Rattus norvegicus: one gene and its partner. The protein of the gene in region 1 binds, or shares a complex with, the protein of each later gene. Links are inferred from orthologs where the notes say so. Each region holds a gene or a part of one and is shown on either strand. Other genes may lie near its edges. The genes, in order: Amhr2 and Amh.

What was found.
Region 2: the proteins of Amhr2 (region 1) and Amh are in contact, whole or in part, in a crystal structure (PDB 7L0J), measured with the Homo sapiens proteins. The link is inferred for Rattus norvegicus from reciprocal best matches to the Homo sapiens genes AMHR2 and AMH. Residues at the interface, in NP_065434.1 of Homo sapiens: Gly31, Val32, Arg33, Gly34, Ser35, Thr36, Thr38, Leu39, Phe62, Ile64, Glu75, Met76, Arg80, Asp81, Ser82, Glu84, Pro85, Ser95, Arg97, Ala98, Pro100, Ser101, Leu106, Thr108; in NP_000470.3 of Homo sapiens: Leu471, Arg472, Glu474, Val477, Leu478, Ile479, Pro480, Glu481, Thr482, Tyr483, Gln484, Lys534, Leu535, Ile537, Leu539, Glu542, Arg543, Ile544, Ser545, Ala546.

What each region holds. Positions count from the first base shown.
Region 1 is NC_086025.1:135,456,419-135,461,015, forward strand, and holds the start of Amhr2 (anti-Muellerian hormone type-2 receptor precursor), read left to right. Parts: upstream 1-1,503; 5' UTR 1,504-1,628; exon of another isoform or gene 1,629-1,894; 5' UTR 1,895-1,954; coding exon 1,955-2,003; intron 2,004-2,281; coding exon 2,282-2,464; intron 2,465-2,662; coding exon 2,663-2,854; intron 2,855-3,110; coding exon 3,111-3,182; intron 3,183-3,375; coding exon 3,376-3,494; intron 3,495-3,608; coding exon 3,609-3,839; intron 3,840-4,597. UniProt on the Homo sapiens protein: On ligand binding, forms a receptor complex consisting of two type II and two type I transmembrane serine/threonine kinases.
Region 2 is NC_086025.1:9,556,788-9,561,237, reverse strand, and holds Amh (muellerian-inhibiting factor precursor), read left to right. Parts: upstream 1-1,370; 5' UTR 1,371-1,378; coding exon 1,379-1,778; intron 1,779-2,111; coding exon 2,112-2,254; intron 2,255-2,421; coding exon 2,422-2,530; intron 2,531-2,617; coding exon 2,618-2,777; intron 2,778-2,877; coding exon 2,878-3,727; 3' UTR 3,728-3,787; downstream 3,788-4,450. Other genes in the region: Sf3a2 (splicing factor 3A subunit 2), read left to right, coding at 1-68, 146-946. UniProt on the Homo sapiens protein: Plays an important role in several reproductive functions. Induces Muellerian duct regression during male fetal sexual differentiation. Also plays a role in Leydig cell differentiation and function.

The DNA of each region.
Region 1 (4,597 bases):
GGCGGAAGCCACCCTGTCTCACAGCTATTGCCTCCTCTCACACGTGCTCCCCAGGAGAAAGGCCCCGCCCACTATGAGCTGGTACGGTCACCTGTGATCTAAGTTAGGTCATCCTGAGAAAGGCAGCCAGAACAGAACGGGGTCAGAAGCGTGAACGGGGAACTAGTCCTCTTTAACCAGCTCTTTGAAGCCAGCTACTCACAGGTGTGGACATGATAACCCATGACTGGTTTCTAACTCTGGGGAAAATGAGTCTGCATGCCTCACTCTACGGCAACACAAGCCACAGACCCTTTGTTCATGTGGACTTGCCCTCTTACACACCCTGTGGCCTTTCTTTATATTTTATAGTACTCCAGTTTAGGACGTTTTGGAAGCGTGATGTAAATATTAGTCACCTGAGGAGGTCCTCTTGCCAGGGACAAATTTCTTCTATGCCTGCTGACCTCTGGTGGTGAGATTTTGAACTGTAGGTTCCCTTCCCAGTTGTTGGCCGGTTGGCAAACATGCTATCTGGTACACACTTCTCAGCAATCCCAATTCAAATGTTGAAATTCTGTAGACAGTGAAAGTGTTTTTGTTTGTTTGTTTTTGTTTTTTTGTTTGTTTTTGTTTTTGAGACATAGTATATGTAGCCCTGGCTGTCCTAGAATTTGCCATTAACCAGGCTGGCCTTGAACTCAGATCCATCTGCCTCTCTAAGTGCTGGGGTTAAAGGCCTGCACCATGCCCACTATGGAAACATTTTTTAAAATATTTATTTATTTATTTATTTATTACGTATACATCATACAGCTTTCTGCCTGCTTGTACGCCTGCAGACCAGAAGATGACACCAGATCTCTTTACAGATAGTTGTGAGCCACCAGGTGGTTGCTGGGAATTGAACTTAGGACCTATGGAAGAGCGGTCAGTGCTCTTAACCATTAAGCCATCTCTCCAGAGAGAGAAACATTTCTTTAGCCTCTGAAGTTTGCATTTGTTTTAAGGCAACATTGTATAATACAGAGAACAGAGTGTGGGATTTGGAGTCATACATACCCAGGATAAAATCTCACTCTGCTTTTTTTTTTTAATATTTATTTATTTATTTAGTGTATATGAGTACACTGTAGCTGTCTTAGACACACATCAGATCTCATTACAGATGGTTGTGAGCCACCATGTGGTTGCTGGGAATTGAACTCAGGACCTCTGGAAGAGCAGTCAGTGCTCTTAACTGTTGAGCCATCTCTCCAGCCCAGGAGCATGTGTTCTTATTTTATTTCATTTGCTTGGGTGTTTGACATCACATGCACGCCTGTGCCCATAAAGGCCAGAAGAGGACATCAAATCTTTTGGAACCATAGTTACAAACAGTTGTGAGCTGCCATGTGGGTAAACCAAACATGATTCTTCCACGAGGGCTCCAAGTGCTTTTGATCACTGTGGCATCTCACCAGGTCTTCTCTGAAAAATTTCACATCCTTTCTGATTTTTGAGTTTGAAAAATGAGATCAACTTTGTGAAGTCTTCTCTGTTCAGGATGCTACAAATGAGTTCTCAATCCATGGGAACCATCTTGGGCAGAGCTGAGCGCCCAAAATATCTTTCTGAAAAAGACGGAAGGTCCAGCACCTTCTTCCAAGGTCAGTAAGGGATAGAGATTTCAGAATTAATTATCACAGGGTTCTCAGCAGGACAGCCAAGGTCCCTTCCTCCCTGCTCTGCAGAGAAGAGAGGAGGTAGTTGAAGAGAGAGATTGGTTCTCTGCTCCTCCCTTTTTCTCCCTGTTTTCCTCACACCCACCTCTCCCCCACAGCAGCCTTCTCCCCCACAGAGACTGGGATAGGGCAGAGGGGGGCGGAGTTGGGGATTGAGGGCTTGGAAGCCCCACAGTGCCCTGTATTTGTAGGAAGCGTTGACGAGGGTAGCTGTGCTGGTGTGTGCTGTCCTGCTGACATCCTTTAGTAGGATGCTGGGGACACTGGGGCTTTGGACACTGCTTCCTGCAGCTGCACAAGGTAAGTGTCTACAGAGAGGGGCAGGGTCTTTACACCACTCAGTAAGGGAAAGGTGTACTTGAAGCAGCAGCCACCCATTTGAAAGAGGCCAGGGGGCTGGGAGGAAAGGCAGAGCCCAGGTTCCCATGGTGGGGCTTAGAGCTCAGGCCTCTGCTGAGCCAGTGTCCTGTGGCTCTGCTGTACTGACCTGGGATCTAGACATCATGTTTTGTCTATGCTTGACTGCTATTTGTCCTTGCCTTCACTCCCTTCTTGACTCCCTTCACCTTGGGCTTCAGTATCCCCAAACAGGAGGACCTGTGTGTTCTTTGAGGCTCCTGGAGTTCGGGGAAGCACAAAAACACTGGGGGAAGTGGTAGATGCAGGACCAGGCCCCCCGAAGGGTATCCGCTGCCTCTACAGCCATTGCTGCTTTGGGATCTGGAATCTGACCCATGGCCGGGCACAAGTGGAGATGCAAGGTGAATGACAAAACACGTGGTGGGCGAGAGGCATGTCTAGGTTAAGGGAGGCAGCCAAAAGGAAGGGGAGAAGTGGAATGTGTAGAGGGGGGAAAAGGCATGTCAGATGCCTTTGACAGAGCCCGGATTTGTTCTCTGTCCCCAAACCTTATGGAACTCTCTTTCCTTTCCCTCCTTCCCCTAACCCCACCCCTTCAGGATGCCTAGACAGTGATGAACCCGGCTGTGAGTCCCTCCACTGTGACCCCGTCCCCCGAGCGCACCCCAGCCCCAGCTCCACACTCTTCACATGCTCCTGCGGTACCGACTTCTGCAATGCCAACTACAGCCATCTGCCTCCTTCAGGAAACCGAGGGGCTCCCGGCCCCCAGGAGCCTCAGGCTACCCCAGGTAATTGCCTTCCCCAGGTTACTAGAGCCCACTGGGGAGCAGAAGCATAGGTCAGGGTGAGAACCGGGGCCAGTTCTCACCCCACCTCCGCCCAAACTTTCCCTCCTCCTGGCCTTGGAAAGTTGGTTGCCCTGGTGACTGGGAGATAAGGGGGCTTGCGACCAGCATGGGGGTGGATTGGAAAGTAATCTCTTTGAAGAGGGGAGAGGTTCAGTGCTCACCCCCGTGTGCCGTGCCATCTTCCCTTGCTGTCCAGGTGGGCCCATCTGGATGGCGCAGCTGCTGCTGGGAGTGTTCCTTGTGCTGCTGCTGAGTATCATCATCTTGGGTACCGACCTCTCCCACCCCTCCCTTGTGATAGCATGACACTTGCCCAAAGGGCCAAGCCTCCTCTGGGCCCTGCTGAGCCCCCAGGTCTGGGATTTTCTTTTACATTTCCTTGCAAGATGCTCTCTTCCCACATAGCTCCCCTGGCTGTCTCCATCCTGTGCACCCTACCCTAAGACTCTTCTCTACTTCAGCCCTGTTACAACGAAAAGCCTGTAGAGTGCAAGGTGGGTCAGACCCGGAGCCGGAGCCAGGCTCAGGAGGAGACTGCAGTGAGGAACTGCCCGAGTTGGCTGAGCTGCGCTTCTCCCAGGTGCTCCAGGGAAGGAGGGTGGGCTCTTTTGGCACTCCTGGAGGTTCTGCTGGGGAGGAAGGCTGGCCCTGGCGCTAGCTCTGAGGCCCACACTCAATGCAGTGTCTCTACCAGGTAATCCAGGAAGGAGGTCATGCAGTCGTCTGGGCTGGGAGGCTCCAGGGTGAGATGGTAGCCATCAAGGCCTTCCCCCCAAGGGCTGTGGCCCAGTTCCGAGCTGAGCGAGCTGTGTACCAGCTGCTAGGCCTACAGCATAACCACATTGTTCGCTTTATCACTGCTGGCCAGGGAGGCCCTGGCCCCTTGCCCTCTGGGCCTTTGCTGGTACTGGAACTGTACCCTAAGGTGAGCATCAAGAAATCTCTGTAGTCTATATTATGCACTACTCCTATGGGGCGCTACATGACCACTGGGCCTTACTCATGCCTACTCTCCTGCCTTATACTTTCTTTTGAATACACACACACACACACACACACACACACACACACACACACACACACACCATTCTTTTTTTTTTTTTTTTGGTTCTTTTTTTTCGGAGCTGGGGACCGAACCCAGGGCCTTGAGCTTCCTGGGTAAGCGCTCTACCACTTGAGCTAAATCCCCAACCCCCACACACACCATTCTTGAGACAGTTTCTCAGTGTAGCCTTGGCTGTCTGTCTTGGAACTTGTGCTGTAGACCAGGCTGTCCTTGAACACACAGAGATCTGCCTGCCTCTGCCTCCCACGCACTGGGATTAAAAGCTTGTGCCACTCCTGCCTGGCTAGAAGAGGGCCATTGTTAAGTACACATCCAGGAATAGCTTTGTAAACTCATTCATATGTTCATTTAACCAATATTTATAAACTATGTGGCAAGCACTTCTAGATGCCGAGAGAAGCCCACATGGCCCCTGGTTTTACAGGCGTCATAGACTAATGGGTCATAGAAAAGGAAGTCGCAAATGTCAAGTATGGTGTGCTGAGAGCTGGGACAGGGCACTGGGAACAGTAAGAAATAATAATGATACAATTCAACCTGAGGGACGGTCGAGATGGCTCAGCTGGTGAAGATGCTTACTTACTGTGCAAGCCTTGGGGACCAAAGTTCAGTTCCCA
Region 2 (4,450 bases), about 130 Mb from region 1:
TGCCGAGCCGCGAGATCGACAAGGCTGAGGGCAAGTTTTGGACCCACTGGAACCGAGAGACCAAGCAGGTGAGGCTCCGAAGGCCCTGCATGGGTATCCCCCGGCCCCACGCCCTGCCCAGTCACTGACACACCCTCCTCTGCAGTTTTTTCTTCAGTTCCACTTTAAGATGGAGAAGCCCCCAGCCCCTCCCAGCCTCCCAGCAGGACCCCCAGGCGTCAAGCGGCCCCCGCCCCCACTCATGAACGGACTACCTCCTCGCCCACCACTCCCTGATGCCTTGCCCCCACCTCCACCTGGTGGCCTGCCTCTTCCTCCTATGCCCCCCACTGGGCCTGCTCCCTCTGGGCCCCCTGGACCTCCCCAGATGCCCCCACCAGCTCCTGGGGTACACCCCCCAGCCCCAGTAGTACACCCACCAACATCTGGGGTCCATCCCCCAGCTCCTGGGGTGCACCCCCCAGCCCCAGTGGTTCATCCACCAACATCTGGGGTCCATCCCCCAGCTCCTGGGGTCCATCCTCCAGCCCCTGGAGTGCACCCTCCAGCCCCTGGAGTGCACCCACCAGCCCCTGGGGTGCACCCCCCAGCTCCAGGGGTCCACCCCCCAGCTCCAGGGGTCCACCCCCCAGCTCCAGGGGTCCACCCCCCAGCTCCAGGGGTCCACCCTCCTCCATCAGCTGGAGTTCATCCTCAGGCTCCAGGGGTGCATCCACCTGCTCCTGCAGTCCACCCTCAAGCCCCTGGTGTACACCCCCCAGCTCCTGGGATCCACCCTCAGGCACCAGGGGTGCACCCCCAGCCTCCTCCTGGAGTCCACCCTGCTGCCCCAGGGGTCCATCCTCAGCCTCCAGGGGTTCACCCTACTCCTATGCCCCCCATGCTAAGGCCCCCCCTTCCCTCGGATGGCCCTGGGAACATGCCTCCGCCTCCCCCAGGCAACTGAGTAGCCCGCCACCAGCCTCTGTGCTCTGTGTGCTCTTTTCCCATGGCCAGTCCTTGGGAGGTTTTCTATTTTGTCCTGTCCTAAGTCAATTAAACAGCCTCCCCCATGTCTCCCTGTCTGCAGTGTGTGTTTTTGGTAGTGGGGTTGGGTGGGTACTGCTTGTCTCTATGGAAGGCGTGGTGACCTGGGGGATCGTCCAGGTGGGCTCCCCAGGCAGATGGGAACGACCCAAGGACACCTCGGCCTCTGCAGTTGGGGGCTGGCTCTGAGGACAGAAAGCCTTTTGAGACAGCCGCCTCCCACCTGATGGGCATGCAAAGCGCAGCCAGGCACTGTCCCCAAGGTCACCTCAGGGGTTGATAGAGGTGTCCCTCCCAAGCACTCTGGCTCGAATGCATATAAGCAGGACCACCCAGACCCTGCCATGCCACCATGCAGGGGCCACACCTCTCTCTGCTGCTGCTGCTGCTAGCGACTATGGGGGCTGTGTTACAGGCTGACACAGTTGAAGAACTGACCAATACCAGGGGCCTCATCTTCCTTGAAGATGGGGTCTGGCCTCCCAGCAGTCCCCCTGAGCCTTTGTGCCTGGTGGCGGTGAGAGGGGAAGGGGACACAAGCAAGGCTTCCCTGACGGTGGTGGGGGGCCTGCACAGCTATGAGCATGCCTTCCTGGAGGCTGTCCAAGAGTCTCGCTGGGGACCTCAAGACCTAGCCACCTTCGGAGTCTGCAGTACTGACTCCCAGACTACCCTGCCTGCCCTTCAGCGCCTCGGGGCCTGGCTCGGAGAGACTGGGGAACAGCAGTTGCTAGTCCTACATCTGGCTGAAGGTACGTGAAGGACAACATCTCAACACCCTTGTTGCCTTGGGACTAACGGAGGCTCCTCCCAAGGTTTGGGCGGGACCTGTGGAGTGTGGGGGGAAATCCCTAACTTGGTTGCCAAACAGAACCTTGTGGGACACACCTTGTGGGAGCCGTAGTCTGCAAGATGGCAGAACATCCCATGGTCACACCTTCCCAGACAGAAGAGCTGTCACGTCCCTATCTATAAGCAAGGTCTTCATACATGACCCCAGAAGATCCCCGGTTAGAGTCTGACTGAGGGACTTGAGGGACAGATGCTAATGGCCTCAGAGACTCAGCTGTCACCAATATTTGCAGTGATATGGGAGCCTCAGCTCTTGCTGAAGTTCCAAGAGCCTCCACCTGGGGGAGCCAGCCGCTGGGAGCAAGCCCTGTTAGTGCTATACCCTGGACCTGGGCCCCAGGTCACAGTCACAGGAGCTGGACTGCAGGGCACACAGGTACCAGAGACTGGCGTGGGTCCTCTGGTTGGGGGTTGGGGGAGAAGTTGTGCCAGATGGGAGGATTCCTGGGGTGAGGAGTACACCTTGGAGTCTATTCCCAGTCTGGCAGGGGGTGGTGCCTGACCACTTCCCCAGTCCAGTCCAGTGAGTTCCTGTATCCACAGAGCCTCTGCCCTACTCGGGACACCCGCTATTTGGTGCTGACTGTGCACTTTCCAGCGGGGGCCTGGAGCGGCTCGGGGCTCGCCCTAACCCTTCAACCAAGCAAAGAAGGTAGGTCCTGGCAGAGAGGAGGGGACAGTGTGGAAGGAGGCTGCCCTTAGCCCTTGCCCTCAGCCAGCACGCGCCCACCCTCTACAGGTGCCACCCTGACCATCGCTCAGCTGCAGGCCTTTCTGTTTGGCTCTGATTCCCGCTGTTTCACGCGGATGACTCCCACCCTAGTGCTGCTGCCACCCACCGGGCCGACACCGCAGCCAGCACATGGCCAGCTGGACACCGTGCCTTTCCCGCAGCCTGGGTGCGCGCAAGGACGGAGGAGGAAATGGGGAGGTGGGAATGGGTAGAGGGTCCACCACAGCCTCTTGTGCTCACAGCTGGCCCACTTCGTTCTATTCCAGGCTGTCCCTGGAGCCTGAGGACCTGCCACACAGTGCTGACCCCTTCCTAGAGACCCTCACTCGCTTGGTTCGTGCTCTGCGGGGACCTCTGACCCGGGCCTCGAACACTCGTCTGGCCCTGGACCCTGGTGCGCTGGCCAGCTTCCCACAGGGCCTGGTCAACCTTTCAGACCCCGTGGCGCTGGGACGTCTGCTCGATGGGGAGGAACCCCTATTACTGCTGCTGTCACCCGCTGCGGCCACTGTGGGGGAACCTATGCGGCTGCACAGCCCCACATCTGCTCCCTGGGCAGCAGGCCTGGCACGCAGGGTAGCGGTAGAGCTGCAGGCAGCGGCCTCGGAGCTGCGGGACCTCCCAGGCCTGCCACCCACAGCCCCCCCATTGCTGTCGCGCCTACTGGCGCTGTGCCCCAACGACTCCCGCAGCGCCGGGGACCCGCTGCGAGCGCTGCTGCTGCTGAAGGCACTGCAGGGCCTGCGTGCAGAGTGGCGAGGGCGGGAAGGGCGCGGGAGGGCGGGGCGCAGCAAGGGGACAGGGACAGATGGGCTGTGCGCGCTGCGCGAGCTGAGCGTGGACCTTCGAGCAGAGCGCTCAGTGCTCATCCCGGAGACCTACCAAGCCAACAACTGCCAAGGCGCCTGTGCATGGCCACAGTCGGACCGTAACCCACGGTACGGGAACCACGTGGTGCTGCTGCTAAAAATGCAGGCACGCGGGGCCGCCCTGGGTCGCCTGCCCTGCTGTGTGCCCACTGCCTACACCGGCAAGCTGCTCATCAGCCTGTCGGAGGAGCACATCAGCGCGCACCACGTGCCCAACATGGTGGCTACCGAATGCGGCTGCCGGTGATGTCCGCCCTACCCCATCCCCCGTGTCCCCAGTCAGCGCCCCAATAAAGATTAGCAAGCACTCAGCTGGGGTGTCTGTGGGCGGAGAGAACTCCTGACAACCTCCCTTCGCGAATGCAAGGCGTGAGTCCTTCCCATACACCCGGTACTCCCCTATGGGAGAGCTTTCGGTCCCTACCGCTTTTCTGTGTAGCCCTGGCTGTCCTGGGACTCTCTCTGTAGACCAGGCTGGCCTCGAACTCAGAGATCTGCTTGCCTCTGCCTCCCCAGTGCTGGGACTAAACTCCTGGACCTTTTTAAATTAATTTGTATGTGTGGCGGGGAGAGAAGTGTCTGGCCAGAAGGAAATTGAGGCAGGAGAAATGCTTCGAGTCAGCCTGAACTACAGAGCAAAACTCTTTCAGAAAACAAAAACAAGGGAGCTGGAGAAGTGGCTCAGCAGCAAAGCACACTTGCACATCCTAACATGCATGTGCGTGGTCTTTAAAAGCAAAACCAAAAGGCCAAGTGTAGTGGCGCACGCCTGTCATCCCGGCGCTCTGGAGGAGGAGACCGGTCAAGACTTAAAACCCAGCCTGGTTGCACGTCCTAATGCAGTCACAAAGTGTACAGATGAGGTCAGAGGGCAGAACTAAGCCGAGTTCTTTCTCTCCCTCCACAGCGTGGGTCGCAGGATCCAACTCAGGCGGTTGGGCTTGGTTGCAAGCGCCTTTACCCATTCTAC